Linked DNA regions of Oryzias latipes. The protein of the gene in region 1 purifies or fractionates together with the protein of each later gene. This does not show direct contact. Links are inferred from orthologs where the notes say so. Each region holds a gene or a part of one and is shown in the gene's direction. Other genes may lie near its edges.

The links.
Region 2: the proteins of polr2f (region 1) and rprd1b purify together in Homo sapiens (affinity purification with mass spectrometry; 4 studies listed by BioGRID and IntAct, counting the BioPlex papers as one, with this or other methods). This does not show direct contact. The link is inferred for Oryzias latipes from reciprocal best matches to the Homo sapiens genes POLR2F and RPRD1B.
Region 3: the proteins of polr2f (region 1) and polr3c purify together in Homo sapiens (affinity purification with mass spectrometry; 3 studies listed by BioGRID and IntAct, with this or other methods). This does not show direct contact. The link is inferred for Oryzias latipes from reciprocal best matches to the Homo sapiens genes POLR2F and POLR3C.

The regions. Positions count from the first base shown.
Region 1 is NC_019866.2:19,811,278-19,821,909, forward strand, and holds polr2f (DNA-directed RNA polymerases I, II, and III subunit RPABC2), read left to right. Parts: upstream 1-3,647; 5' UTR 3,648-3,782; coding exon 3,783-3,802; intron 3,803-3,943; coding exon 3,944-4,013; intron 4,014-4,123; coding exon 4,124-4,254; intron 4,255-5,620; coding exon 5,621-5,692; intron 5,693-5,778; coding exon 5,779-5,869; 3' UTR 5,870-6,100; downstream 6,101-10,632. Other genes in the region: MICAL-like protein 1, read left to right, coding at 710-823, 1,045-1,171, 1,287-1,377, 1,459-1,532, 1,638-1,752, 1,838-1,884, 1,971-2,095; sox10 (transcription factor SOX-10), read right to left, coding at 10,382-10,632. UniProt on the Homo sapiens protein: DNA-dependent RNA polymerase catalyzes the transcription of DNA into RNA using the four ribonucleoside triphosphates as substrates.
Region 2 is NC_019865.2:7,644,133-7,654,764, reverse strand, and holds the start of rprd1b (regulation of nuclear pre-mRNA domain-containing protein 1B), read left to right. Parts: upstream 1-4,968; 5' UTR 4,969-5,443; coding exon 5,444-5,594; intron 5,595-6,916; coding exon 6,917-7,046; intron 7,047-7,143; coding exon 7,144-7,277; intron 7,278-8,358; coding exon 8,359-8,477; intron 8,478-9,761; coding exon 9,762-9,888; intron 9,889-10,632. UniProt on the Homo sapiens protein: Interacts with phosphorylated C-terminal heptapeptide repeat domain (CTD) of the largest RNA polymerase II subunit POLR2A, and participates in dephosphorylation of the CTD by RPAP2. Transcriptional regulator which enhances expression of CCND1.
Region 3 is NC_019874.2:18,838,356-18,848,987, forward strand, and holds polr3c (DNA-directed RNA polymerase III subunit RPC3), read left to right. Parts: upstream 1-3,204; 5' UTR 3,205-3,323; intron 3,324-4,200; coding exon 4,201-4,347; intron 4,348-4,674; coding exon 4,675-4,939; intron 4,940-5,095; coding exon 5,096-5,385; intron 5,386-5,489; coding exon 5,490-5,594; intron 5,595-6,026; coding exon 6,027-6,200; intron 6,201-6,288; coding exon 6,289-6,340; intron 6,341-6,440; coding exon 6,441-6,501; intron 6,502-6,587; coding exon 6,588-6,738; intron 6,739-7,041; coding exon 7,042-7,143; intron 7,144-7,227; coding exon 7,228-7,277; intron 7,278-7,365; coding exon 7,366-7,515; intron 7,516-7,600; coding exon 7,601-7,685; 3' UTR 7,686-7,857; downstream 7,858-10,632. Other genes in the region: E3 ubiquitin-protein ligase RNF115, read right to left, coding at 1-267, 408-462, 631-689, 3,034-3,111; itga10 (integrin alpha-10), read right to left, coding at 8,500-8,553, 8,644-8,757, 9,151-9,246, 9,330-9,437, 9,513-9,620, 9,707-9,820, 9,905-9,989, 10,067-10,156 and 3 more. UniProt on the Homo sapiens protein: DNA-dependent RNA polymerase catalyzes the transcription of DNA into RNA using the four ribonucleoside triphosphates as substrates.

The DNA.
Region 1 (10,632 bases):
ACTGCACTGAAGGGAACATTTGATACCAGGACGACGACCTTTCTGTTCAGAGCTATTTCGAGCAGAAAATGCTTTTTTTACGGTGAAAAATAGCATGTCTTACCTAGAACAGCTCTCACATTATAGCACAGTGGTGGGAGTATTATAACAAGGGATGTCTTTAAGTCAAGATTCTGTTTAATGTTTTTTTTTTAGCACATATAAAAGACACATACATGCCAATCGTGACACAGTATATAAAGAAAATAAAAACTAAAATTATGTGAAAGCGTAAAAAAACAAGCTGATGTGCAGGGAGGTGGAAGGAAGAAGCATAAAGCTTTTAAAAAGAACAACCCCTAGATAAACAAGGAATATAAAACAAGATATGCATTACTATCAAAACAAGCCAATAGAGCCGCAAATCAAAACAAAATTTTATTCTGCCCGTTTTATAAATCCATATGTTATATGCATTGATAACAATATCACAGTAAATATTTGGAAAAAAGTCTGTTTTTTTTGTTTGTTTTTTTGTAAGTTGATAAAGAAATGGAGTTATGTACCAGATCTAGATGTGTATTCCATGACTTGGGTCCATTGAATTGTAAGTTATAGATGCCAAAGAGAAGGTTTTTGAATCCTGCGAAGAATCTGTGAAAATTGCATTCATCATAAGACTGACATTTTGGTGTCTTTTTAATCTGACTTTTTTTTCTTCTGTTTTTAGCAATCCTGTAAAGAAAATCCTTTTGACAGAAAAGCTCACATGTCCAAGTCCCAGACTTTTTCATCCAGTCGGGGTCCAGCTCCAGGCCACGGCTTCCCCCTCATTAAGAGGAAGGTACATTTCTGCATCCCAATTCAGTCTCTCAATGCTGCATTTTCCAGCCATGTGGAAGATGACACACTGTTTAAAAAAAGGCAGAAATCTTACTTTAAAACTTCTTCAACATAATATTGGGCCATGTGACCTAAAAAAATGATGTGTATTATTTCTTTTATAAGGTGCGTTTGCTACAGCTGTTGCAGAAATAATGTGGAGTTTCTTTTTTACTTTTTCAGGTAAGAACAGACCAGGATCTGTGCATGAATGACCTGCAGAATCAGATGAAGGAGCTGGAGAAAAAACTGGAATATCTGGAACAACAAGGAGTTGAACAGGAGAGGATTCTCAGAGCACGCCGGAAAGGTGAACTTCAGTTTCACTGCTATCGTTCCAGATATTTTTTTTGTTTTTGGCTATTATCCGCTTATTCATAATTGCAAGAAATTCTATTTCAGTTGCTTCGCTTTTTACATTTCAGGTAAAGAGGAGGAAAAAATGCTTACAGAGTGGTTCTCCCTCACTCTTGAACGACTACTTATATCACACAAAAGCTCAGAACTGGTCTATTTGTAAGTGAACCAGCAAATTCTTTGAAATTGTGTTTACTAATTATTTTTGTGTAATCATTTCTTTTGTCTTTGTTCTTTGAGGATGAAGCAGCAGAATTTGGAGGACAGGCAGGCAGATGTGGAGTATGAGCTCAGATGTCTCCTCAACAAACCAGGTTAGCGTCTGCTTTTACCCAGACAGAAATAGAGGTGAGAATCCATAAGCGTCTCTACTGGGCTCAGAAAAATGAGAAAGGCTTTGACTTGATGTGTTTTAACAGAGAGTGAATGGAGTCAGGAGGATCGGGGTCGTGAGCAGCAGCTGATGGATGAGCTGGTCTCCATCATAGAGCAGAGAAATCAGATCATAAGCGGCTTGGATCAGGACCAACAGAGGTTGACGCAAATACTGCTTCCTTATACTCAGACACTAAAATGTAGAAGTTACAGAAAATACACCTTTTTCCTTTTTTCTCATTAGGGATAAAGACAAAGATATGCTTTTGGAAGAAAAAATGAAGAACCGAGGTGAGAGTGACACCAATCCCCTCTTGAAAGTGTCTTGCTGAGGATAATTTTGTTTCACTGCTGTTAATGACAAAATCTCTCTTCAGATTTTCCGAAGGAAGGAGAGAAAGGGCTCAAGAAGCCAAAAGGAAAGTTCAAACCTGCACAGGTGTTTAAAATCCTGAACAACAAACCCGAGAGCAGAAAGGACTCTGGGAGGAAAAAGGACTGAAGAGCTGCAGGAACATTCTGGTCAATTTTAGATTTAGTTTCTCATCTGTAGAAGAGAATCTAGATTATCCAAAAATGTAGGGACTGGTATGAGCTCTCGTCTGTTTGGCACATTCTGTTCAAATTGTTTACAAAGTCCAGCAAGAGAAAAACGGAGTACTTTGAAATAGAAACCAATTCCTACTGATGTTATTTTTTTACCACTTTTTTAAAACCCTGTTTTAAGAAAAATATTTTTCCAAACCTGCATCACTAGAAAATGCTTAAAGTTGTTGTCCTACAGATTTCTTCTGAGACAAAATCAGCCATGCAGATTCCTGCACTATCTTTTGCTATATTTACTTTTTAGTTTTTTTTAGTAATTTGGTTAAAGGGGTTCATCAGAAAATGTATAGAAAACTGTGAAAGAGAGCAATTTTACAAGTGACATTTTTTTAAAAGGTTGTGACAAGAATCTCCTGTCAAATGTTCACTTTTATTGTAAATTATTGCAACTTGTTGTTTACTAAATTAACAAAGAATCAATTGCATATTTCATAGTTGGGCTATATTTGAAAAAAAAAAGTTTATGTGTAACCAACAAACAGGATTAATTTTGTTGTTAAAAACGTGAACATTTCTTCCTTTTTGTGTTTAGAAATTCTTACCCATCCACTGCTATATTTATAAAATAGGTAATGAAGAATTGTTTTAAAAGAAATCTCTTTTGTATAGACACATTTTATTAAATAAGTGAAGAATCTAAATGGATCTGTTCTTTGACAAAGTGCCAGCTGTTTGAGCTTAACCCTAGCAAAAAGTTGACGCTTTTATTTTTTTAAGTTTGCTTGAATATAAGTATAAAGCAAGTACGCTGTACTAAAGACCATGTTCATGTAGTGTAGAGATGAAGTATACTAACAGAATATTTCTTGAGACTGGAAATTGGAAATTTTAAGTTTACAATATCTAGATTTTATCTTGACATTATATTTTAAAAAAATAAACGTCAAGTATACTGCCTCACATTTATAAGTATACTTGTAGTACACTTAAATAGACTACTTCTTGCAATGAGTATTCTTACATAAGACAGGAAAGCACTTGCAAAAACATTTTTATGTTGTTTATTGTGAATATCTTTTCATTTGATCACGTAGGAAAATATATTAGATGAAGAGTAAAAAAAACAGAATCCAGCCTTAGCTCTGAATGTTTTTTCGCATTCGGTTGACCCAATTCTGTTCTTTAACTTTGCACTAAGTGACATGCCATTGTTACTCGTTTTCTATAAATGCAGGGCAAAAAATTAAGAATTATTAGTATTCATTTTCTCTCAAGGGTACATTAAAATAAATGTTGAAAACTATCATTTTGGTGTCTTCTTTTTCTCTAAAGGTACAGCCTTGGTTTTCCATAGTTTGATGGATTTATATTTATTTCTAGTTGAAGTTTATTTTGTTTAGGATACTTGACTATAATAGAAAGTAAGCTTTTTATATACTATTTGTTTGCTTGTTTTTAAATTGAATTAGAAAAAGGTAGGACAAAAAAAGAAATTCTAGTTGAGAAGCCGGACATAATTTTTCAGCGTACACGCGCACCGGAAGTTTAGAGACCACAACGCTCAATGTGGTTTAGCCTCTAAATTAAATTTGCTGCTAATAAACTCTATTAGTATCTATATTGGAAAAAATATAAGTTAAAACATGTCTGATAACGAAGACAAGTAAGTTGTGATCTATGTTCATCAAATAATGTCATGGTATATGTTAATTTTAAATCTATTTTAGCGTGTAGCCTGTTAGCTAAGCTAGGTTACGACTTCACCGTTTTCGGTCTTTGATACAGTTTTTGTCAACATTTGCAGCTTTGATGATGGAGACTTTGAGGACGCCGATGAGGACGAAGGATTAGACGATCTGGAAAACGTGGAAGATGTATGTTCGTCTGCACTTTTTTCATTTAGTGGATCATATTTGGGGTTCATTATTCATGATTTCTATCTGGCAGTCTAATCAGATGCTTGTTTTCCTTGGATGATCATCAGGAGGACCAGGAGAACGTACAGATCCTCCCCGCAGGAGAGGGGCAGCAGGCTAACCAGAAAAGGATTACAACACCGCACATGACCAAATATGAGAGAGCGAGAGTGCTGGGAACACGAGCCCTCCAAATAGCGTGAGTTGTTTACTGTAAAATAAGCGCTTTACTCTTCTAAACCAATAAGTTAGGCTTCCAAACATTTGTGGCTTTGTTGTTCTTCTTATTTTATTTTGCTAATTTGTCGTGTGGAGCAGCTGATCAAACAGATGAGAGCTGAAGGCCCCTGGTGTTGGACAGATTGTAATGTTACCATAGGAGTTTTGAAGCTTTGGGCAGAGGAGGTTTATGTCACTACAAACCTTTTTGTATTGAGGCTTAACTTTATTTTATTAATATTTGTGCTTATTGAACTATGCTGCATGTACCCCATCTTTGCCCCAAAACAGCTAGGATAGGCTCCTTCAGACCCTGATCTACAATAGGCCGGTTTTAGAAAAATGATGGACTTGTGTCCATTCCTTTTTGGACCGGAGAAAACGGAGAAGGATAGTGGGATATTAGGGATGGGGGGGACAAGATAGAAAAGGACATATAGAAGTTGGAGAGTCACCAAAGAAACACACCATTGCAAACAAAAAGAGACAAAACGTTGCTAGAGGTTATTTATAACTTTCACAATTAGATGTTTATGTTTATCGCACACACTGAATATTATAAACATTCCTGTTGCCCTCAAAAACCTTCACTCTTGCATATTGTCATGTACACAACACAGATAGAGATCAGATAAATATGCACCTTCATTTGCATAAAAGCAGATACAATCTCATACAAAAGTCCTTTTCTGAGCCAAGGTGAGTGGGCATTGGTGCTTAGTTTTTTTGTCTGTGTTCTACTGTGGACAATGATGGTATGAAGCGTAATGAATAAAAAAAAGGGGGGGAGCACCTGGTCGTCCCACACCAAGCCCCCCAGAATGAGGTGAGGCAGTAGCGGCAGCCAGGACCACCACAGCCAGGAGGGAATCCACCACCCCAGTGACCCGATACCAGCCATCCATACCAGAGGAGGGACTGCCGAAATAGTCCCCAGCACCAAAGAGCAAGGAGTCACAGGAGCATGGAGAATGCACGCCCTGGCCCAGCTAGAGAAAAGCCCCCCAGCTGTGCTATGGGCCCATCACGAGGTCCCAACTGGTTGCTGCAGATCACGTGTTTCAGGGACAAACAAAAAAATCTTTGCATCTCATTTTGTCAAAATGACACTGAATTACATTTCTCAGTTTTGCAGCTTTGAAGGCAGGTTCTGGGTTTGAACCTGGTTGTTGACATCTCTGTGTTTTTGTGTTTGGGCCGTTTAAGGACACACTGGTTTGAAAAGTGTGTGTGTGAATGAACAGTCCATGAATCCTCTGCCCCGCCTGTTTTCTGGCTTTAAAATAATGACATTTTACTTCAATTTGGGATTTATTTTGAGGATTTTGTCGTTGTTCTGCCGACAGCATGTGCGCTCCTGTGATGGTCGAGTTGGAGGGAGAAACAGACCCCTTGCAGATCGCCATGAAGGAACTAAAGTACATCAGATTATTCCATTTCTGTCTAAATTCTTTCATCTTGTTTTGTTCCTGGTAACTCAATGTTTGCCGTTTGTTCTGAACAGGAGCAGAAAGATCCCCATCATCATCCGCAGGTACCTCCCCGACGGCAGCTACGAGGACTGGGGCTGTGATGAGCTCATCATTACCGACTAAACAAACCTGGACTTTCAGCTGAACTTCAGAGCTTCGATGATACCAAACAGAAGCAGCAAATGCAGTCATTTTAAAACCTGCTTTGCAAGCATGAGCCAGTAGGGGGAGACATAACTTTGTTTAAACACATTTTTTTAACAAACTGAACTTTTGTTGTAAGTATTCCAAGTGTTGATTTTGATCAGAGATCATCTGTTTTATTGTTATAAATAAAGTCTTTTTTTATGATAATTTCACGGTTTCTGACTGTTATTATTAAAGTTTTAATGTCAGCATGAGTCATAGTCAGGGAAAAAATGGTCAGTTTTGGTCATTTAAAAAAAGAACCAAATCAGTTGATTAAACTTCAAGAATCATGTGGTGTTTGATTGATGCAGCTTTGATGTCAGCGGGTCTTTATTTTCCTTGAGGCTACAGCCCTTGTGGATTTGGTGAAGCCGTCAGAAAACAGACGGAGGCTCTCTCTGAGTTTATCCACGGAACCATGTGAATGAAGCAGCTCAACAGGTCGGCATTGTTCAAAGGGAGTGTTTGCCCTGGCAGAGAGACGCGCGGCGCTGGAGGAAAAACCAGTGCTCAGGGGAGAAGGGCTTGTTCTTGAGTTTTCTGCCCGAAGAGAATCTATTTTCAGCCCAGCTCTGAGGCCCCGTTTGATGCCAAAAATTGCGACTTAGTTTTCATATGAGCCTCAAGAAAGTGACATTTTTGGTGTCTCAATTTTCACACTAGTACTAATGTACTAGTCTTTAAATTATTTAAACTTTTATTTAAGGTTCAGCAGGAAAAAAAATATTGACAACTGTAAAACATAGCAGTCAGGATTATGCTAGTTATAATTTTTGTCTAATAATGTTTTTCAGTACAAAAGCATAAACTAAATTGAAATTGGCTTATGTAACCCTTGTGCTATCTTAGATGACCCCACCCTTACTTTGACGTGTTATTCCTACCATGACAAAGGTGGATAAAGGTGGAAAGATTTCATGTAATCCATGGACACCAGTGAAGATCACAAATCATTGAAGAAAAAGGGTTCAGAGCACTGTTTAGTAGTGGGTCTAGATGACCCAACTCCCAATGTTAAAGTGCCTAGGATAGCACAAGGGATAAATAGCTTAACTCCTTGAGTTTATTTCCAAAAAAGGAAGAAAAAAACATTTTTTGCTTTCAAGTAGAAGAAATTAAGGTAAATATGGAGTAAAAGTGGTTAGATCCAAGTTTGTATCAAATATACGTTAAGGGGTTAAGTAGCATTCTTATTCTTTCATCCAAAAAAGAATTGAGACACGTTACTTTTAAAAAGCCTTTCATGTCCAACTGCTGTTATGATTATTGCTTTGGTATTGTAAGGAACGTAGTGATGCTACGATTCTCAGTTAAAAACCAAACCCTATGTTAAACCATTGAACTACGTTGTGGAAAAATGTATTGTTGCATCACTGCTGCAAACATTTACACATGTTTGCGTTGAAAGTGTGTTGTGCTAAGTTCAATATATTTAACAGTGTTTATTACATCACACCAAGGTTACTATGAACCAGCTGAAAGGTTTTCTTTTTACTATTTGCTTATTTAATTATAAAGTCGATTTTTTTAGTTTTTTGTTGTTGTTTTGCCATGCACTATTAGCATATTGAACTGAAAACAAAACTGTCACCCAAAAAGTGAGGTTTGAACCGAATTGTGGGGAAAGTGAATCGCTTTGCCTATGAATTTATCGGGTCATTTTCTCTGTTAAATATCTGCATACCTCAGGCCTCAATTTCCTTGAATACAGTTTTTCAGCACCTGAAATCTTCCAAAGATTTTCATTTTTTCAAACCTTGCATGAACGTCAGCGTTATACATTCTTTTTCTGAATAGTCGATATGTGTGAGCCCTAGACTATATTTAAAAAATGTCCTTATCTTTGGGTCTTATGATCAAGTTAACACAATTCAAATGTGCAGTGACACACAAAAAAAAACACAATTCTGTCGTTTATTTTTTAAAAGTATTTTGTGACAAAAAAAATCATCTTTCAATGAATTGTGAATTCAAAGTATTTAATCTGGGACTTGAAGTCCTGTCAAACAAGCCCAAACCATCGCCCCTCCTCTGTCGTGCCTAAATTCTAGTATGGAGCAATACATGGTTTCTGACATCCTAAGTTAACATTTTGTCTTGACTTTGTTTTCCTGTATAGTCATAAAAGGATGACTTTGTTTGTTTTTGCTGCTGAAGATCATTTTAGTTTATCTTTCGTGCATTTCTTACTCTCAAAAGAAGCTTAGTGGACCAGAATTTGGTCTGAACTGTGTTTATTTACCACAGTGGCACGGTGAGAGGGTGCAACAGGAAGAGTAGTGAGAGTTGCACACAGTAAGGGTCGCTTTGTGTGACAGTGAAGCTACAGAGCGGGCAGTTATGGGGTTAGACTCCCTCCCTGCCCTCATTCCCTTCTCCCTCACCTCCCCCATCAATGGTCCTCTTTGTTTTTTCCAAAGTATCACACAGCCGATTAAAGAGAGAGGGAATTAGGAGTCAGGCCTAATCTGCACCAAACACAGAGACACATACATGTATGCATAACGGCAGAAATCTGGAATATGCATCCAGGCTTCCATAGCAAGTCCTGAACCCCCACCCCGAGAAGGCTGGAGGCTCAAGTGAGGTCAAGGGAAACTGAATCTGCACCAGTTTGTCCCCATCATTGCTCCTCTCTCCCAGTTTACTAGAAATTATAATTATAATCTCTAAACTGTATTTTGCATGTTTACCTAGATCTCTGGGGTCATAAATAATAATATATTGCCTGTAAAGAAAGCTATAATAAAACATAATTTAGCTTTGCAGCTCTAGATGTTCCAATTCAATTTACTGCAGGAAAATCTGAACAGGCAAAAAAACAGAAGAACTTTATTTCAAGTGAGAGTCATCGTCACATGTTCAGGCTTTTGCTCCTGCTCTTATTTACAGACTCTGTGACTGAAATCCACTGTTCCTATTAAAATAAATGGCAGCTTAGATCAAAGAGAAAGAAAAAAAATGCTTTTTACACAAATAGATGCAAAAAAAATTATAAATAGGAAATGAAAAAGCTCAGAGCAACAAAAAGAAACATTTCAATTTAAAGTTACAGTCCAGTCTTAGCATGACAGAAAACAAAGCATTGTTATACTTTTACATAGCGAGCAGTTTAAATATGGCATAGAATAATATTTAATGTAGATTTTGAAGGATTTTCATCACAATAGAATGAAATATAATTACATGTAAGTAAATTGTCAAGAACAAGGCACTTCGTTAATGCAATCTGAAATTATCTTCACGTGTGGCAAGTCATTCAAAAATATTGGCATCTCCTTCAGCATACAAGTATGAAATCCGTTTTTTTTAATGAATCAATCTTAAAATTAGCAAAATGCTAACATTTTACCCAAAAAAAGTAAAAAATTAGACAGTGGTGAAGCAATAAGTGAAGTTAATGGCAAAATGTTTTAATAGTAATCTGTGAGATCCCAGTTTTTCTTTAACAAATCTTAAAATACAAATATTATTAGTCAAACTTCACTGTTTTTTGTGAGTACAAAATAAAGTTTTCTCAAGTCATAAGTACATAAAAGTCTGAAGATTTTATTAGAAAACACTAAAAGAAGGAAAAGAAACTTCAGATAAGATAAAGTAAAAACTTTCTGATAAAAGAAGAATAACTTTTACTGAAAATGTTTTGGCTAATCCAAAAAACATCTCTACGAACTACCAGGTAGCTTTGAGTGTCATGTTGGGAGAAACATCTTTAAAAATCTGTTTCTATCCTATAACAGTAAAACATGTTTTGGTCTCAATGCTTTGGTTATTTTGTCATAGTTTCATTAGTTTGTCTGGATTTCTACAGAAGGCACATTTGTTACTTAAAATATTGATACATTTTGATTTTTTTTCCTTTTTAACAGATCTGTTTGAGTTTAGGTAACTGTGGTTTTCTGAGAACAAAGTGGACAAATTCTTGCCAAAACAACCATTTCAGGATTTATTCATCCATTTGAGTTATAATCTTTAATTTTATGTCATGAACAACAAAAGATTGGCAATGTGTTATTGTGTAATGATTCTTTCCTGGTTTCATTTCAGGAAGGAAAGTTGTGCTTTTCTCTTTTTTTGTTTTTTGTTTGGGGGCGATGTTTGCAGACTCCAGTGTGCCTCCTGATACCCGTGAAGTTTGGAACAGGTGAGAGCCTACCTGAGCGCTCACTGGCACAGCTGCTGCAATTTCTGAAGGGTCTCCAGTTTCCCTCACAACCACACTGAGTGCTGCCACACCACCCTCCGCTTTCTTACATCGTTTTCTCCTACACGCGGGCAGGATTGGAACAAGGTTTCACCCCTTATGCCCTCCCGGCCTGCGCAAGCCCCCCAGACCAGAGCACTTTCATCACAACTTCCAACAGCTCCACTGTTGCTGTCGCCTCTGCTTCTGTGGTCTGATGTTGGGGCTGGGCGGGCACAGGCGCCTCCTGGTTCTGTCATCTGTCATGGCCGCGACAGAGTTGTGTAGACCGGCTGCTCCCAATGGGTGGGGCTGTGTGGTTGGGTCACACTGGCGGGGTCAGTGATGGCGGTGTACAGGGGTCTCTGGGAAGGCCCCATGTACGAGAATGCAGAGTACAACCCCGGAGCCTGACTGGAGTGGGCGTAGTAGGACCCTGAGACCTGGTGATCGGCATAATCTGCGAACTGAGCTCTTGAGGCCAATGAGGGGAAGGCGGAGCTGTAGTGAGGAA
Region 2 (10,632 bases), on another chromosome or scaffold:
TTGGCCTTACTGATTTGAAGTCTTCTCTGCCGTGCCACTGAATCAGATCAGTATCCACAGAGAGCATGACAGGATCAGGCGTGAAGGAACCCACCACTTTAAGAGACCACTCCGTCCCCCTCCAAACCCAGGAAACAATGTCATATCCTGTCGGCGGGTCACCTTTCGCATCAAAGTACACTGAGGAGTTACTCAGAGAGAACCGGACCTTCTTCAGTGACGGCAGAAGCTGACAGAGAGAGAAACAAAATTCAACTCATCAACAGAAGTGCTGTTTGTCAGCAGAAAACAATCAGTTTACCTTTTGTGGACTGACGCTTTTCCTGCTGCATTTTCCAGAGTCACAACCGAGCGTTAGATGTAAGGCATAAGCCATCGCATACACCGCCTTGTAGACATTAAAGGAAGAGGTGGTGTCATAATCATCCATGGAGTAATTCTTGCTCACAAGCGTGTACAAGTCTGTGCTCTGCAGACAGTCATTGGCACTGCTTTTGATGACATTAGAATCATCTTTGATGTGCTTTATTGATTTCTCAACCTCCTTTTTTTGAAAGTCAGGGAAACCAGAAATGGATGCATCTTGCACAGATACTCCCACCACTGTGCCGATGGTGTTGATACCAGGTATCCCTGATATAAGCGTAGATGGTGACCAGTCCTCCGTTCCGATCCACACCTTATCGGTGATGTTTCTCTCCAGAACAAACGGCAGGAAGTCATGGAAAATTGTCTTGCTGGAGAACACAACAATGGTGTTCACTTTGGTTTTCAGTATTTTCTCCACCATGTTCCTCATGGTTTGGACTTTCTCATCACTGGCTGCAGGGATGATTCCCTGATAAGCAATGCAGATGCCATGCTTTGGTGCTTGCTGCGACAGACTCTGCATGCCCTGCAGTCCGTAATCGTTGTCACTACCCAGGACAGTAATCCAGGTCCAGTTGAATTGGACCAGGAGTTGAATCATAGCTGTCACCTGGTTCTTGTCACTGGGAATGGTGCGGAAAAAAGATGGATAAAGGAACTTATTGCTTAGCATTTCATTTGATGCTTCATATGAGATCTGGAGTGAGGAGAAAGGAGAAAGTTTGTGTTTTCTGAACATCATACATAAAATGTTTTACAGTGATAAAGTTTGTTAGTTTGAGTCTTACCTCTGGTACAAGAAAAGAGCCCAATAAAGCAGCAGGAGTAAAAGTCTTGCTGCTGCTATCTGGACCGATTACACCCACAGCTATTTGAGCTTCAGTGGAATTAAAGACTGCCTGTCCTGCTTCAGAGACACGGGGGTTCTGATATTGTGGAACTAAAAGGTCCAAAGTGGCTAGGACACTAGCCGGGATTGAGCAGACATCATATATCTGATATCCAAGCTTGACGCCGGGCAGAAGATGCAGTGGACCACTGGCATTGTTGATTTCTTCCACGGCAAATCTCATGGCTTGCATTAAGTGAACTGCATGCTTGTTGGGTCGACCCCTGGAATACGGTTTTGTTTAAACACATTAGGTTATGAAAGGAAAGTTAAAACTAGAAGTTGGAAAGACTTACTGATCGCATGGCACCAGAGCGGGAAAACCGCTGTTTGGGTTTTTGGTATAGTGGAGGGGAAAGAGTCCGGCCAATGAGTAATCCCCCTGTAACTGCATTCCTTTACCTTGAGAGATATAATCAAGCTCCCCAGCAGCTAAGTGCAAAATCAGCCAACCGAGGAAAAAGAACATGTACTGAAACATCTTTCTGCTGTCAACTGAACTGCACAGAAGTGCCCCTGGGGGGGTTGCTCTTAAAGGAAGGCCTAATAAAGAAAAAAAGCATCTTTGCATCTATATGCAAAATTATGGCTCCCAGAAGCATATTTGCATGACAAATTTGTTTATGTATTTCCCCATTTAAATAAGTGGCACAAAATAAATCCTTAAGGGACAGGGACAAGATACCTTAATACTGGTGTTAACTCAAATGAGTTGTGGTTTTCAGATTCAAAGCAAATTGTGTTGTTTTGTTACTTAAATGTATTTTTTAAATGGCTGTTTTGGTTTCTATCTTTGAATATTTTGTTTCTCTACTTTATAGTTTTTTAGTTATACTTCATTTTTTCATTTTGTTTATATTGTGGTGTTCAGAAACAAGAAGCTTGAATTACAAAATTTTAAAAAGTTGAGCTACACAATGTAGCAAGTACTGGAAGATGCCAAACTTGTTTTTTGTTTACTAACTGCTTTCTAATAATTACTTAGTTCAATAAAAAGGACCTGAAGACAGTTTTGACATTGGGAAATGTCTAAAAATCAATCACGTTTTATGAAAATATGAAACTTTAAAAAAAATAAAAAAAATAAAAACAGTGGAGCCAACAACAAGTTTAACTACCTACCTTTTAAGAAAACAAATACTTCCTTTTCATGTTGTGAATTCAATAATTTAAAATTTTTAGTGCATTTTCTTAGAAAGGTTAATTACAAGTTTTGATGAAGTATTATAAAGACTTTTCCAACTAATACTGATGTTTTAATTGTTCAAAAATATAAATGTCAAAAGTTGGACGAATGTATGTTTAGTTGTGTTGTTTGGTTAGCTGTGTCTTCAAAATTTTTTTTTTATAAAAGGAGGATACAGATTAAAGGAATCACAGAATTTGTTAGAACAAAATAAAAACGTGTCTGCATTACTGTAATCTGATCAAAAATTTGGAATGTATAACAGCAGAGAGAAAAACCATTTCCAAACCTTTGTCAATTTAAAAAATAAATAGAAATAAAAAACTTTTCCGCTTTTAAATTAAATCACTCATGGATAACAGTGATTTTTCTGTTAATGTCTGAGCCCCATGAAAATTATATTATTTGCCTGGGTATTTGTCATTTAATTGTGATGATGTGATAATAATGAAATGCTTGATTGACAAATCTTCAGACAGATCATTATATTGATGATATCAATATATGGATTTTTGTTGATGTATTTTTGTTGTCATATTTGAAACAGCATAAGGGTGTAGGCTTCAACAAGCTTCAGCCTTGGCCTATCTCTCTTTCAAACATGTTTATTGTTCTGTCAAAAAGAGACTATTTTTAATTAACTGACTATAGTTATCAGCAAATGTATAAATGTATCTATTGTTATTTTTATATTATGGTTGAAATAAACTAAATTGGAATAATCTAGATATTTTTCTTATTTTCTTTTTACTGGTGTTCTTAAATCTTGTAGACTGGCTCCTCCTTGTGGTACTTAAGGCTCAAACAACAGGATGGGCTCTAATTGCTGCTGCTTCTCAGCTTATAGTATAAAAGTTATTTTTTATTGTTTAGCTTTGACCCTGCTAGCTTTGTTTTTTTAATCTCAGTGTTTTTTTTTCTCTCTTCATTTTGTTCTTTTTTGATGTTGAGCATGAAGCTGTTTGGTCTATGTCATGTCGTTTTGCTCTTCACAGGCTTTGTAATCATATTTGATAATGCTGACATTTTAATTAAAAGCAGCAATATTTTGCTTGCTTTGAATCATGTATGAAATTGTTTGTTTTTAAGGTAGCCTTAAGTGGAGCTATCACTCCCTTTAAGCATCTTCAAATGTCTCTGTGTTTCTAAAGTTGTTGTCATTTCAGCCTTGTATTTATCAGCTACTTTTCTTTTTTCTTAGAATTTTATAAATCCTTTGTCAATTTGTTCGAAAGTTTGTTTCATGATTATCTGCTCCTTTTTGCAACATTTATTTTTTATCTAAATTAGGTTGTTGTCAACAACAAACTTTACTTATAAAATGCACCTTAATATATAAATGCATTATTACATGTCCTGTGTGTGAAAGGGCACAAAAATTGATTGATTGCTCACACACTAAAATGTTTTATGAAATCTGTCTGTGTACGAGAGATTGAATTTGAATTTTGGTTGACATCTGAGCCTCAATTTGCTAAGCACACCTAAGACCGGCAATCTATTTGCCTGGTGCTCACCTGCATCCAGATCCCAAACCCATGATTTTGACTGGAATAGTGTGCATTTTTTCAGCCACAGTATCACTGAGGCAAATTCGCATGGAAATCAACTTGTTCTTTGGATTCCAGTAAGAATATTTTGCATTTGGTTGAAAACATGCACATTATTTTGTTAATTGTTGTGTTTGTCCAGGAATTTTGCATAAGACACTCATACTGAGGTAACTAGCTTTCTAACAGTCTGTTAATAACCCAGCACAGATATCTGGCAGAATTTGGCATCAACAAAAGCTTGAATAAATCCACAAATTAAGTCTCATGTATTTTTCAACAAAATGTCCCTATAGCCAACATTAAGTGTGTTGTGATGCGGCCTTTTTAATGTTTCTCACCCTTTAATAATCTTGATACAATTTTTATGTGGATTGTTGATCATCAAAGCAATGTTATGGTCAGAGTTCAGGTTTCATTATAGTTAGTACATTGTACTGTCTGCTACTGAGATAATATTATGGAAATAATGACTACTGTAATTATGGACAGGGTGCTAAAGCCTTACAAATGCATCAGATTCCGTAATTTATGCAAAATGTTTCTTTCTCATCTCTAGCCATAAATATTCCCTATGTTTAAAACCATCAACTGTTTTATGGTTTATGCTTTTATTGTCCTAGTGTCTTAATTTTTTATTGTTCTATTTTTTAATGTGTCTGTTAGTTGTAAACGGACTGTGCCTGCCTTTTGGCAGGACTCCCTTCTAAAAGAGATTTTTATTCTCATAGGGTTAAATAAAGGTGAGTAACAACTACAACAACACTAATAATAATAATAATAATAATAATAATAATAATAATAATAATAATAATAATAATAATAGAGCAAAACATGCCAGGGTAATTAGCAATAGTTTACCTTAAAAACATTTTACAAGCAAATGCATCATATGAACTAATCGCTTAGGGGTTTTATTTTTGTAGATAATAGAAAGGTATATATCTACGAGAAAGAGCCGTTCTTTTTACGTCATCACTGTGCGACGCACATGTCGGTTTGAAAGTGCAAGCTGCCATTTTTTCGATGAGCATTTTTTTTTAATTAGTTCAGGCTTCCAAAGCTAAAGTGCAATTTTTCACTTCATATTAACGTGAAATTTTCTTTTAAATACAGCAGCGAGAAGTGAATTTGTTTAACTGGGAGGTATTTAAAAGCCTAGATTATTTTCGATTTGGGTCTCCGCGCGGAGGCTGCTTAGCTTGTTCTGCTAACGTTAGCAAGCACTGTAAACAAACAAGAATAGGCTCCCTGGAGATCTACTCAGAAGTTTCGTTACGGAGGTTGTTTACAGGAGGAAGTTTCATGCTGCATATGTCTAAATCAATCAAGACAACTTCAGTTTGATGAGCGTGCGACTTTCTTCGGAGCAGTGCGGAGCTCCGTAGCTTTTTATTTGAGAGGGTCGAGGCCAGTTGTAGAGCGAGCAGGGACACTCGTCGGCATACCATGTCGTCCTTCTCCGAGTCGGCATTGGAGAAGAAACTGTCGGAGCTGAGCAGCTCGCAGCAGAGCGTCCAGACGCTGTCCCTGTGGATCATCCACCACCGCAAACACTCGGGTCTCATCGTCAAAGTGTGGCACCGAGAACTGAAGAAAGGTAAGAGCTAACCCCTGCAGCCAGCCATGTGTCTAAAGTTGTATTAGGAACTTTTATTTTGAAAAGAATAAACAAAACATAAGGATCATCGTGAAAGAAACCAACTCACTCGTTTTTTTTTACGTAGAGGGTAAAGCAAAAACAACTTATGAACAAAAATTCTAATTAGCATGAAAATAATATGCATTTGTTATTCATTTTGAATTGTAATAACCAAGTAATATGTTGTGTTAATATCCGACATGAAACATTAGGTCTTAGTTCCTTTGAAACATCAATAATAATAATTATAATAAGTATTTTAATTTCAGCCAGTGGTTCCTGGCGTTCCAAACAGGAAGTACCCTCTGGCTCCAAGAAGCCAAGATAATATAGACTTCTGTACAGAAATAAACAGCTATTACTCAGTCATTATATTTGTCAAAGTAATCATCCTTGCTCTGTTACCTTTTTTTTTTTTTTAAACATGGTCATGGTCTTTTTTCTTCCTGTAGTGAAAGTTATTCAAGTTATAAACTGGCCAATCAGATGCCTCAACAAAAGCATGTGGTGCCCTGCCTGCTTGCCCCCACCTCAAAAGTTTGAAATGTTTCATTGACTAGCCTGCTTTCAGCGGAAAGGGTGTGGTCTTCCAACAAGCTCACTCCTGATTGGTGACAATAGTTGACATAATAACGTTGATAGAGACAGATTCAGACCAATCACTGCTCGCTAACCTTGTCTGGCTCCGAATGGTGGCGTCTGTGTCATGGAAAAATGGGAACTGAATTGACTTCAATTAATTGACGTCACACTTGCTCGGTCCAGTTCTCTTACACAGTGGGTGGTGCCGCTCCTTTGGGATGCATCTACAGACTACTGGATCCATGTGCGATTAGGTTTTAGTCGTCCGAGCTGGCATGTGGCTTAAAACTGTACGTCTGGATAGCTGGGGGTGTGACGGGTAGTTAGCTAGTTGGAGAGCATATGAACAGAGAACTCTCAGCAATGGTAGGGAAGGGGGGGTGTTCCTTCGCGTCACAACTCAGAGGTGAATATCTACTGGCACTGCAGAAACTATGTCCTAGAAAATGACACGGGTATTTGGATTTTGGCTTAACAACGACATCATCATAAACAAAAGACCACTGGGAACCTTTTAAGAATGGATCAAAAGATGATCGGATGGTTTTATTTCTCTACTTTTTTGTTCAATGTGACCAAACCAGACCTATCAGGCTCTACTGTCTAGCAACTGACTGACTGATCAGTAATGCAGCATCAACGATAACTGGAAAAAGTGAAATATACTTGTGTAAAAATGCTTTTTCTCTTTTTTCCAGCTAAAAGCAACCGGAAGCTGACTTTTCTTTATCTGGCAAATGATGTTATCCAAAACAGCAAGAAGAAAGGACCAGAATTTACCAAAGACTTTGAGTCTGTACTCGTGGATGCATGCTCCCATGTTGCCAGGTCTGTTTCCCAGTTACAAAAACGTCACAAAAATAGACTTAGACCCATTTGTTTGTGTGTTCGCTGCTCCTGTTACTGATTTGTTGACTCTCCACAGAGAAGCAGATGAAAACTGCAAAAGGCCCATGGAAAGACTTCTAAACATCTGGAAGGAGAGGAGCCTTTACAGAAGTGATTTCATTCAGCAGCTCAAGCTTGCCATAGAGGACTCGAACAGCCCCAGGCCCTCAGGTTAGGCAACCATTACAAGCAATGACTTTTATACATGTAATAAAATGAATGAGATCTTTAGAGACACCAAAATATTCTGATTTAAAGACCCACCCCACACAAAAAAGAAGCATTTTTGGTGTTTTTTACATATTTTGCATTTTTCTCATAAAAGAGGACGCATATATTCTGAAAATTAGCATTAAAACTGCTTTTTTGAGTATTCCTTTATTCAAATCGTGAATCAGGTGCAGACGGAAAAACGCAGTTTGAAAAAGCCCGAAGCAGTGAGGCAGCTGCAAGTTCTGCCCTGCTCTGTTCCAGTCTGATGTATCCACTTACAGACAAATAGATCCATGTACGTCTTTGTTTTCCTCGTCTGAGCTGGGATCGTGATCAAAACTGTACGGCTGGATTGTTCCTATATTGACCGCCATTAATGCTAATGCTAGGATGTGATTGTGAGGGGCTGTGAGCTAGCGTCAAAGATTGTAAACAAAGGGATGATGGGAAATGAGCGCAGGCTTACCCTGCTCCAACATTCCCGCCCACAACTCGGAGGCAAATTTCTGATGAACTCCTGCTGATCTGCAGAAGCTATGTCCTACAAAACGACAAGTTTTTTTTCCATTTTCGCTAAAAACGGCATAAATCATAATTAAAAGACCTCTGGGAACGCTTTTAAAAACAGATCAAAAGATGACTGTAATGGGACTTTAAGATGAAAACAAATTACAGGAGAAAACTGTTGTTTTTTAATGAAAAACTGATAAAAAAAACAGTTTGGTTTATGCATTTATTACTTTCATTTTAATCATGATTTGTTGCAATCATGTACTTTTTAAAAATGGCACACATTTAAGATGATTTATGACATGCAATTAAAAGTGCAACAACCTAAAATTGTTCTCCAACAAGAATTTAGTTTGAGGTGCATTTTATATTTACGTGTTACAAAGGTGCCTGTTTTTCTTTTTTAAAATAATGATATAAATGTCTTAGTTTCATGTAAAATTAAATGAACAATTTAAATCGATTTTTTTTGAGCCAGTCTTATCTTGCTGACCTAAGATTTCCTATTTGCTGTGGTCTGATGAAACAGAGGATAAGAGAGCAGTGAAACGAAGCTATCAGAAGATCCAGGAAGACGATGAAGACGATGATGACGACTATAGAAGTCACAACTCTCCGCGAAGCACAGAGGCATCTGCCACTCAGCTGGTAAGAATGACCTTTCCTCCTACATACATGCACAGTTTAATCAAAAATAAACCTACGTTACAAATTTGATTTTGACTTCAATTTTGGAAGTAATATGAGAAAACGATCATGTAGTCACATGCCCCTGTTCGGGGTTGGCCTGCATGAGTGCTCCAGGTTTTGGGGTTGTCCGGATCATAGAGGCTTGTGGAGAAGAGCTGCTGCATCTAAAGTGGAGCGCAGGTGTGTCTTGCAGTGCTTACTGCTCGTATAGCCGTTTCGACAGACATCATGAAATTGGAATGTACCGTTGTCAGTAAGTGTACTGGAAGTATTTGTAAGGGTTATGCAAGTGTGGCGTAAGGGCACCGTACGACAGTCTAGTCTTAGTAAGTACCTTGCAACAAGGGCCCAGTACAGTGTCTACGTTATATGCCCGTAGGACGCCCACACAAACTACGCTCTGATCGTCTGATTTCCTAATTTGTGACAGTCAGTCTATACACTTATCACTTTAACATCACTTATGGGCCCCTTGCAGCAGGATTTGTGGGAGGGGGTTGAAAAAAATAAGGAAAAATCCAAAGAACACGCCCGTCTCACTTACTTTGTGCTCACTCTGACCTGCAGCATGCTCGTATAAAAAGAACATTTTGGCTCTAAGAGGTCACCAAGCAGTCTACCATCTTAAAATTTTTAAAATTGACCCATTTTTCACCTGTAGAGAGCCTGTATCCACCTGTAAGGGCAGTTTTGAATAAGGCTAAAGTCATGTCGGGTGATTGGAAGTTGAAGGATGGTGGATGTAATGTTTTCAACAAACAACCTTAAACTGAAAAATATGTTTGCTTCCAAAAATCTCAGAGCTGTTGTTTAATGATTGGAAAACCTGGTTAAAATATCAAACTGATGTAAACACATTTTAAACATCTACAGAAATAATACACTAAAGCATGTTTTGTGTCTAAAAAATAGAAAAACAAAAGGTTATCAAGTAGCAATTTGAAAGTAATTTATATATAAACACAAGCCATGGCTTTAATTTTATCTTTGTTGTTCCATGTATATTTTATGAGTTCTTAAATTTGCAGTAGATTGTTCTCCTGTGTTTCTAAACCTTTAGGTTCCTAATGTGCATCATCTCTCTGTAAGTGTTACTATTATGGAAGCCTCATTTCTTGTAATAGAAAAGGGATAAACAAAAGAACTAATCTTTTTGCCTTTTCCCTCATAACCCCTTAAAAATGTTATGTTTATCATGAAAAGGTAATCGGTTTCTTCTTCTCACCGGTCTCACCTTTTCAGACAGAGGAGCTGGTAAAGGCCTTACAGGACTTGGAGAACGCTGCTTCAGGTGATGCAGCCGTGCGTCAGAAGATCGCCTCGCTGCCACAGGAGGTTCAAGACGTTTCTCTGCTGGAAAAGATTACAGGTACGTATAGAGCTGTGACGGTGTGGGATTTTTGATCACCGCGGAGATGAAATCTTTTATGCCCGTGTTTGTGTGTATTTAATTTAACATTATCTGTAAACATTACAAGTACTGAAACATGGCAAGCAGTTAATTTAAAATCCGACACACACAAAAAATCCCCCATGATGTTTAATGGACTGTCCCTCCCTTGCACAGCAGGATGCAGGCTTTTTCCCCCACAAGCATATTAAGTTTGAACTTAGGACTTGTAGAAAAAGTAAATTATTAGCAAAGATAAATGTGTTTATCATAGTTCAAATCACACACCAAACGCAATCCTGTAACTTTCAAAAAGAAAAAAACAAACATGCGGTGATGAGTCATCACCACACGGTGATGCGGTTATCGTCGGACCCCTAGGAAGGTGTTTTTTGCCAGTCGACATCCGTTTAGAAACAGACCAGAGCGTCTTTCAGTTTAGTTCAATTTATTTGTACATTTCAGTCCAGGTCATATAAGTACCCTATTTTTTGGAGTATAAGCCGCAGGAGCCAAAAACAAAATTCATAATATAGCAGGAAAAAAAAACCATATATAAGTCTCTCTGAAGTATAAGTCGCACTTTTAGGAGAAAAGTGCAACGCTGCTGATCAACTCTGCTAAGCCCAGCGAAATGGGATTCACACATCCCAAAGACATCCATGATTGTATTGGAAGGCCCTTCTTCTGCATTACTATCAGTAGCAAATACTGATGGTCACA
Region 3 (10,632 bases), on another chromosome or scaffold:
GCGCTCTGGTCTGCTGCTGCCTCTGAACCGGTATCTCCTCTGGCTGTGAAGGCGAGGTGGGCGGCCTGGTCCGAAGTGTTCATTGGATCCTAACAGACCACCCATCTGCCCCCCGAGACCAGCTGGAACCGATCCCCCGATCGGTCCAGCCCCCAGTCCTCCGAAATCACTAAAACTCCCCAAACGACTGCTGGAGAGCCTTGGCTCGGAGTCAGGAGTGTCACTGTCTGTTGTAAACGGCCTCTCCAATAACAGGAGGTGCCACAGCTGTAGAGACGTTAGGATTAACAAACAGTTATGGAAAGGGACATGAAAAAAAAAAAAAAGACAGGGAGACAGAGAGATCAAAAAATGGGGGGAAAACTCAAAAATTAATCATAATTTAATATGATCAGAGTCAAACGTACCTCTGCAAACTGTGTGGCTGTGTCATCTATCCCATTTGCACCGCCGTCTAGAAGACTAATGAAAGCAACACAAACAGGGGAGGTACAACAATCTCAATAAACGCGTACTAAACTGATCAACTAAAAGGTCACGCTGGAAGAAGATTCAATAAACAGATAACTGACAGAGCAACAAACATGTATTCACTTTTAAGGTTCTGTTCCAGAAACAGAGGTCTCTTACCTGGAATCCTCTGTTACTTCCTCTATGAAACCTGAATCACATCTTGGACAGATGTATTCCTGCAAGAAAAAGAACAAGGACAGAGTCACGCTTATTTATAAAGGCTGAGGAAAAAAAGAGACAACTAAACATCGAACTATGGCCACATTTTTCATTTCAATTGGGTTTCAGCACATCAGAAAGAAAAAAAAGTAACATTTAGATGTAAAAACTTGGTTTTACATTTAGTATACATCCTATTGAAGATGCCAAACACAATACAAGTAAAAAAGATTCAAATGACAGTAGATATTTCAACACACCAATGTGTACGATGTTAACATCCTGGTTTAAGGGCTGTTGAAAGTACATTAGAAATACTATAAGCAAACATGTCCATCATTAAGACTTTCCAGTTAAATGTACTTTTAATTGTTTACATCTTAATATGTTGAAAAACAGACATTTTAAAAGCCTGTGCAACTGTTTTCATGAGCCAAACCATTTTTGGGCTTGTGTTTTATTAATGTAAAATACAACACATATCGTGATACTTCAAAGGATAATTGTTAAGAAAAATGTATGATGTTTTTTTTTTTTTGATTGGCTGATTAAAAGCATAAATAATGACTTTCATTTAGTGTTTCAACATATGAATGCAACCAAAGAGGTACGGCTGGTCTGCCAACCACACCTTAGGGGGAGGGCGTTCAAAACCAGCATGACAGCTTGGAGCAAACACAACCAGCAAGCAGCCTTTGCAGCAGGATGGATCATATGTTGTCCTCTCATTTAAAGATAGAGCTTTTCACTCAGGGGAACAGGATTGAGGTCACTTAGCATAAAAACAAAGTTGTAAGCCATTACGGCAACACCTGAAGTACAATACTTGTAGCATTAAAAAGTGGGTCACAACAATAATGTCTTTTTAGATTGTAGTTCACTCGATTTGGAGTGCTAAATATACAAATGAAATTCACAAATGTTCTTAAGGTTGAATTGAAAAAAAAAGTGACTATGAATTACAGAAATTATTTTGGTCAAAGCCTTTGAATTCAGATTTACTCACAAAACTCACACAATTACTTGTAATAAATAAATGTTATGTATTGTTTTGTTGATTTTTATAATTTACTTTATATTTCAGGTTTAAAAAATGTTTGATATTATCTTTGCAGTTGCTTGATCCAACACAGAAAAAGAAAATCACAAAGAGACAAGTGAGTAAATCCAGAATTAGTGACCAATTATCTGAAATTTAAAAATAATGGGGAGGCAATAGTCACAGCTCTGTTTCCAGTTTACTGGTCGATTAAACAAATAGACGTTTGGATGTTTATTTTTACTTTATGGCACAGTAAATCACAGAACCCTCCATCTCTGTATCAGTCTAACAGATTGCTTCTAAGAAGCTAACAGGTTGCACTTTTTAATTTAAACTTTCAGTCAAAATCTAGACACAACATAAAGCAGTGTTTCCTAAAATTCGGGTTATATAACAAAATTCATTTACTCAATACATCAGCCAGTTATAAGCTAAATTTATAAAACATGTAAGAGAACACATTCATGTTAGAAATTCAGATATTTCTGGTATTTATTTTAACCTGTCCAAATTTTTTCTTGTCCAAAATGAAATACTATAATCATTATCATCAACAAAATAACTTATATTTCAATGATTGAAAAATGTGTGTCAATTTTTATTTATTTACCAAGGAACATTTGTTTCAAAAACACAAAACGGAGTCAACAAGAGAAAAAAAACTACAAATAAAAAAACAAACACTTACAGTTAGTTAAATGTTTTTGTAAAAACGTAGGAATGTCCTTTTAAATAAATGGCCTTTTAAAGAATATTTGTAAAATAGTAATAGTAGGCCATTTAAACGCCTCTTCTGCCGACATTGTTACGTTTGACTTTAACACTAAAACTGAAAGTAAACCACAACGTATGACATCTACAGAAAACTTCCCCTGCTTATACTGCCACTGCTGTTAACAGAAACAAAAACTAAATGTGTATATATACTGAAAAGGAAAATCTGAGTGACAGTTTATGAATAAATAAACTCTCAGATTAATTCGGGCTGTTTTGTTCAAAAACATGCATCTATCATTTACCACCAAGCACACAACTTCTACCTTGAAGCACAGAGATTAGCGTAAGTATTTTAAAACAGGCACGAATAACAAGACCTACTATCGTTAGTTTTAAGAGTAGCTTAGTTTCCCCTAAAACGACTAACCGGAGTTTCTTTACTGACTTAACAACAACAAACACTGCTATATGCTAATAGCCTATGGGCTTAGCTGTAGCAAGAAGTAGCCGAAACAAACAGCTACCTGCCGGAAGGCAGACTTGTCAGCCGCGCATAACACTCAACATAAAATGAGCGAATAACCAAAAATAACGCGACTTACCGGGAGTTTGGGATTTACTTCTCCCTTACAACAGTGACAGAAAAACCGATGCGAGGGAACAGCCGCAGCCTCCGCCATCTTCCCGGAGCAGCACAAACACTGACGTCGGTCCTCCACTAGCTGAAGGGAGCTGTCCGCCCCCAGCCCGGCATGCACTGCGGCACTGTTGTCGAATCACAGCAAGCAAAAAACCGGGAGCGGAAGTGTCTGTTTGTTGTCATCGACTAGCCTCATGCGCTAAACTATCTGCACGGAGTCTGCTTTCATTGCGAGATCTGAAATCGAAAAAGGTTTGTGAAAAAAAAAAAATGCCAGGCTTATACCATCAAATATTCAGAGATAATTTAGTAAATTCCCAGCATGCAATTGTAATTTTACTATCCAAAAGCCCAAGGGGGAAAGAACTTGAACAACTGTTGACTTTTCAAATTAGAAGAGATAGTTTACATGCACTGTATGCTATAAGGGAAACTACTTAATGACCGATCTAACTTTTTATTTTTAGATTTTACCTGTTGGAATAAGTGGTGCCTGTTTTAACAAAGTAAAATACTATTATTGTTGTTTGTAGTTCGTAAACTAGATGTATAGAGATAACATAACTAAAAAAAGTGCTGTTTATTGAAAAACTAAACTGAACTAAAATAAAATTGATTTATTGTTTATATTGGTTCATGTTGAACGATCAAATCCGATCCGATTCACTGATCTAAAATCGATCCAGAACATCTTTAGCCAAGAATTCAACCAGTGGGACTCAGAAAATAAATACCTGGATTCTGAACAGTGCAGGGGAAGTTTTCCACATTCCCTGTATTTTTTTGCAACATAATTAAGTGTAAATTAAACATGTTTACAAACAAACAAGTAAAAAAGAATGAATGGACAGTTTTACCTACATTTTGCTGCCATTCGATGTGTTGTCTGTTTTAACGTTATAGTTAGAAAAAAAGCCTACTGTGCCTTAATCCAAATGGTATTTTCCAATATTGATAATAATTGATTTATTTCCTTTTAAAATTAATTCATATTGGTATAGTTTGATTCGATTAACATCTTGCCTCAGATGGATGAATCGATTCATCTTTACAGCCTACTAAAAGCACATGCATTAGTTCTTATTATTAACTTAGTGGTTTTCATTGAACTGTTGGTGTGTTTGTGCAGATGACAGCCCAGGAGGTCCGTCTGTGTGGTCTTCTGCTGCAGGAGCACTTTGGAGAAGTGGTGGAGAAAGTGGGAAGAAATCTGCTCAAAAGTGGAACGCAAAATTTAAGAGCCATTGTTCATGAAACTGGCTTGTCAGTGGATCTGGTAGGTCAACGCAAGACTGAGATTGCATTCGCTGTAGTCAGATGTTCTTTGAAAAATAATCAAAATTATTCATTATTTGAATTATTATTCAAAGCAAACGGTCACATATATTACTATGTCCCTTGCAATATGGCAAAAGTTAGTTCTTTAAAGATATTTGAACAATAAGAGAAACAAAATTATAATGTAATTATTCAGGTAATATATATTCATATTTGAAAACAGTTTTACCTGAAACTGATTGCTTATCAGTTTTTTGTCAATACAATACAGTGATGTCTGGTAATGTTCATGTACTTTAACAGGACTTCTTCTTCTTTCATCAAGGTAAAGAAGTCTCTGTGCGTTCTTGTGCAACATGGAGCCTGTTCGTTTATTCAAGGTCGAAAAGGACCGGGGAGCCCGACGGAATACAAAGCCCACTGCGATCGGGTACTGAGAATTCTGCGCTACCCACGTTACATATACACAGCCAAAACGCTGTACGGCGACACCGGTGAGCTTATCATAGAGGAGCTGCTGCAGAGGGGCCACATGACGATGAGCAACACAGTTAAGACAGTCGCAGACCGTCTAACTCAGAGTATGGACGGTGAGCATCAGAATCAAACAAAAGACTGTCCATAAAAGAGATGATCTGTTTTCTGAAGGTTTTTTTTTCAGTTAAGCTTTGGATTGAGGCCTAAAATATCGCGATCAGTAGATTCATTTTCTAATGAATACTTCCTTTGATGTTTTGTTGATACAGAGGGGTCGAGCATGGATTATGGTGAAGTGTCCGCCACCTTTTCCAAACTGGTAGAGACTCATTTTCTCCAGCGCTGTCCCCCAGCAGCAGGAGCAGGAACGACAGGGAGCAGTCAGACTGCCAATTCGACTTCTGCAGCTCCTGCCAGCAGCACTGCACCCACACCGGAAAGCTTCCCCGACTGCTACAGGGTTCCTCAAGTGACACTCATAGGCCGGAGCAAACGCTCGCTCGCCAGCGAGGAAGGAGAGGACCAAAGAAATGCGAAAAAAGCGAAAATGGACCCAGAGGTCAGAGAGACGTTTGTTAAAGCAAGATGTTCACTGCATATGCTAAGACTTCTATGGTTGTGACTTCTGTTTGTCTTCTCATAACTTGGATCTTTGGTGCTCAGACTCATGGGGATGAGGGGATTTACTGGCAGGTGAACTTTGAACGGTTCCACCAGCATTTCCGGGATCAGACTATCATCAGTGCTGTCGCCAACAAACTAGATCAGGTGGGAATTCCACAAAACATTTCAAACTAACCATTTTTTTTATTCATTAAAAGAAAAACAGGTTTTGAAAAATAATTGCCTAGAAAAAAAAACCCAAATACATTTCCTCAGTGTATAATTATTTGATGGTTAAAAGTAAAAATGAATAGTATTTGAAAACCCTCTTTGTATGGCTGAAGGAATTTAGCATAAGCATTTGGTTGTTTGATAAGACTATCTGACTTTGAAGTATTGACCTTAAAATCAAAGAAAATTCAAATTTTAAATGAAATAAAGTGATAGTTTTTGGAAGTACTCCTAATAATTCCTCTTTTTTCTTGGATTGTTCTCTGTGCTTTAAATACTACAGCTTTTTACATTTATTTCATTATTAATTATTTATTATTATTATTTATTATTAACTAGCTGTCTTCTCACATCTTTCCTACCCAGACCAGCAGTGAAATAGTGAGAACCATGCTGAGGATGAGTGAGGTGACAACCTCTTCCACTGCCCCGTGCACAAAACCCCTTTCAGCCAATGAGATCTTCAGGTCCCTCCCAGCTACTTACAACATCCCCCGCCATATATTGGACCAGTACCTCACTCTGCTGGTGGATGACCCTGTAGGTCCTCCTCATCTCAAATATCTCTCTGATTTTTGCTTGGCTCCCCACAAAATGCTCAAAAAGTTTCCCACTTTTCCTTCCTAAGATGGAGTTTGTGGGGAAGGCTGGGGAAAGTGGAGGAGGAATGTATATTGTCAGTATCCTTTCTGCTCACTTGAAGGTTCAAACCATCCCACAGGTGTGCGTGTCATTCGCTACTAAACCCAAAACAAAAGCTTTCCCTAACTTTTCTGTCAGATCTGAACCAAGCATTGGCTAACCTGGCACGGGCCACCCTGGAGTCCATCGTACAAGAGAGGTACACCAGTGTGTGTGTTTGCTCTCCACACATACGGTTGCTATTGGGCTCCCATTGTTAATAAGATACCTTTTATTCATCCTCAGATTTGGCTCCAGATCAGCGCGCATCTTCCGCCTGTTGCTACGGAAACGTCATCTGGAGCAGAAGCAAGTGGAGGATTTCGCCATGATTCCAGCAAAAGAGGCTAAAGACATGTTGTACACTCTGCTCTCACAGAACCTGGTCCAGCTTCAGGTACGTGGATGTAAAATGGGTTTAAAGAAGGAACTGGATGAAAAGTTTACGATTTGTTTTAATCATACACCTGGATCTATCCTAAGACTAATTTTTTAACCTGGTGGTGAATTTTAAACATCTGAGCTGAAGTTATTTAATCCAAAACAGCATTGTTCTGTTTACCAATGTATATAGATTTATTTAAAAATACATGTGTTGAGTTCTCAAAGTTTGAACCAAGCAGCCATAGTTCTAGTTTTTTCTTTTTTTAGTACAATTTTTATTATCTGTAATTATCTCTTTTTTAAATGTATCCTCCAGGAAATCCCCAAAACACCAGACTTTGCTCCCTCTCGGACCTTCTATCTTTATACCGTCAACCAGCTGCCTACTGCGAGATTGCTGCTACAGAACTGTTACAAGGTGAGTCTGAAAACAAACTGGGAGCTTTAGAAAGCTGGATGGAGAGCCACAGGTGTATTATTTCATGCCTGCTTTCCTCTCCAGACAGTGGCCAACCTTATGGAGCGGCGGCTGTTTGAGGCCAAAGAAAGCAAGTGGGTCTTTGAATCATATTTTTCCTTGAAGTTTTACAAGAATGCAGGTACTGCTATGCGCCAAATGTGAATTATGTTTGTTTTTTAGGCGCCTTCTGGAGAAATCGCAACGAATCGAAGCTATTTTGGCGTCTCTGCAGGCCAGCGGGGCCGAACCCGAACAGCTCACTGAAGTGGAAGAAATGATCACCGCTCCTGAAAAGCAACAACTGGATAGCTTAAGGCTTCATGTTAACAAGTAAGAGAAGACGACAGAAACAAAAAATGTATATTTGGCAAAGTTTTTTAAACAGGTTTTAAATTTTCCTTTTTTTTCTTTCCAGATTAGATTCAGCAGAGAATCAAGTGGATGAAACAATCTTTCTTCTGGAGTCCTACATAAGTTCCTCTACAAAACCTACAAGTTAAGTCAGATTTGGAAGAATGACTGACACCCCACATTTTACTTAAAAATTATTTGATTTTGTTTTTTTGTCACAACAGTTTTAGAGTTTACAGCAAATATGTTTCGGTTAGAAGTGGATTTAAATCTGATTGTTTTTATTCCTTGCAAATAATAAACACAACAGGAGGAACCCTTTCCAAATGTTTTTTATTTCCCATCATGAAACAAAAAGCTGTAGAACCGAGTGAACATTTGAAATATAAAACCATGAACAAGTCTGCAAGTTAAATAAAAGAACTGTGGCTTAATACATTTTCAAATTCCTTAAAATTAAACTAAGGTTATTTACAAACATTGGGGTAAAAAGTATTTATTAGTCACTGATTCTGCAAGTTAATGAGAAGCCTGTAATGTTTATCATAGATATGCTTCAACTGTGGGAGACGGAAAGTAAAAAAGAATCCAGAATTGTTTTTTTTTTTATAGAATGTACTTGAATAATGGTGCGTTTAATGTCAAATCCTACAGTGTGGTTTCCTGGATTCTTGTTCTGTTTCTTAAAGTTGAAATGAACTTACGATGAACATTACTGATCTCTCTCATCATTTTAAGTGGGACAACTTGCAGAATATTCAAATACTTTTTTTGCCCGGCTGTAAGTGCCTCCATACTCTGGAAATAGTGGGAAGTGCATTTCTGTTAGACCCTTGCGATGCTCTTTTTTAGTCTTTGGAAACTCTGTTGCATCCATTTCCTGAATGTCTGTGCCTGGTGGGAGGCTCAAAGAAAAATCTACTTCCCTTGTAGTCCACAAGGCAAATCGCTGTTCATACAGATTCAGTCTTCAGGATTTTCCTCCTCTCCTCTGTGTTTGCGTGTAAAGAATCCGAGCTGACAATAAGGAAAAGAGCGTGAATGAATACGCTATCCTTTATATATTACACATATGTCTTGAACATCAAAGAGAGTTTGATGTGATACCTTCCACAGTATGAAGATAATAAGAGCCAACAGCAGCAGACCGCCTATGATGCTGCCGATCAGAATCCAGAGCGAGATGGGAATAGCTCTTCCCTTCAGCACCTCCAGTACAGTCTAAAGAGAAGTGTGGGAGACGCATGGGTATGTTAGGTACACTCTAACGTAGGGCTGGTGGTCTCTGCCAAAATATTTTAACCCTTGCGACATCTTTGCATATCCACTAATTGTTGAAATGTAGGTGAATATTGATTACGTTTTCAAATTTCCATCCAAAATAACCGCACAAGCTAACTAACTAATAAACAAAAATTGAATTTTCATTCTTAAAATAAGTAATTCTTGAATAAAAACCAACTGAAAACAGTTTTTATGCCTGAAAAAATACTCAAAATGACTTAAAAAGAAATTTGATTCATACATTTGATTCATTTATGTTGCATATTCTGCATATTGTTAGTAAATATGGATTTGATTAACTAATATTTTTAAACTCAGCCCGTCTCTTACCTCCCCCCAGACTGTTCCTTTTCCCAGAGTGATGAGGTTAGTCTCCTGAGCTGTGAGGCCATAGGCGCCTATTATCCTCATTGACTTATATTTTGCCTGAATACATAAAGAAAAGGGTCATGGTCAAAGCTGGAGCGACTGGAGAATAACTGAGTCACCTTATTTGTCATGTTACTCACTTTCCTGAAAAAATCCTCATGAACTCTGCGGCTCACTCGAATGATGACGTCCTCCCTGAGCTGCCGCACCTCACACACAATCTCCGTGCACCATGACCTGCTGCAGTTCTATGTATGGAAAATGGAGATTTCCCATCAGCTGCTGTTCAAGGGATTGAGAAGCGCCTGTTTTCTGGGCCTCACCAGGATTTCATCCTGCATCATGTCTTCAGGATGAAGTGGCCGCACTTCTCTCTGCCTGCTCTTCAGCTGCGCCACATCACTCATGACAGTACAGTTCACCCCTGAGGCCTGGGTGGGGGGGAATGAGCAAATGTCATGTCTTATCTGAGAGAAGTGAAAATGCAAATGCATCCTAAAAAAGAGAATCTGCTCACGTTGTTTGAGGAGACATCGGTGACAGTCATGAAGGTGCTGTCTCCTGCAGCTGCAGTGGGCAGATACAGCCGCAGCTCCAGGTTACTCAGCAAGTAACAGCCAAAATTCTGCAACTAAAATATAAAAAAAAAAATTGGTGGATACTTATGTCAATATTTGACATTTTCAGACATTTTTTATTAGAATCAAGGATTTACCCTAAAGTAGGTGAAAAATTGTGGCCCAATTGCTTCCGATGCTGTTCGAGTGGGGTGGACTTCGTAGCGGTTCAGATTAGAGGTACTGCATAAAGAACAAGCCTGTAAGTACATCAATAGCAAGAAAAAATAACAAAAAAAGCTTATACTGTGCAGTCTCACCTACTAATATACAACTCTGGCTCATACTGAACAAAGGTTTGCAACTGAACACTGTTGTCCCCCAAAGTCTCCTGTCTTTCAACACTGTCACTGCAAGACCAGAGCGAGAGTTACAGCAAAAGTTTCCCTGCAGGTTGGTGAAAATGTGCATGACACAGCCATGACTCAACTACCTGGAAGCGTTGATCTTTATCTGGACACGACTGTGCAGAAAACTGCAGCTGAACTCAAACTCCAGCATAAAGTTAACCTAAAAAGAGCAGAAAATAGTCTTAAGTTTCACCCGAGGAAAGGAAAGTGTGAGACCAATGGAGTCAATCCTTCAGGTAAGCGCACCTTTGACCGAGAGCGAAACACTGGGTAGCTGACGTTACAAGAGTGAATGTTTGAGCCAATTGCTGTACACTCCATCTTAAAGTAGGCATCCTCCTATGTTAAAAAAACAAAAAGAAGAGGACATTGGATTAAAATACGGAGGATTTGTTGCATCCAGGGCAAGCGCAATGTGAGTTACCCGAATGCTTAGGCTGGAGAAGTGCAGGTTTCGTGAATAGTGCAGCTTCAGG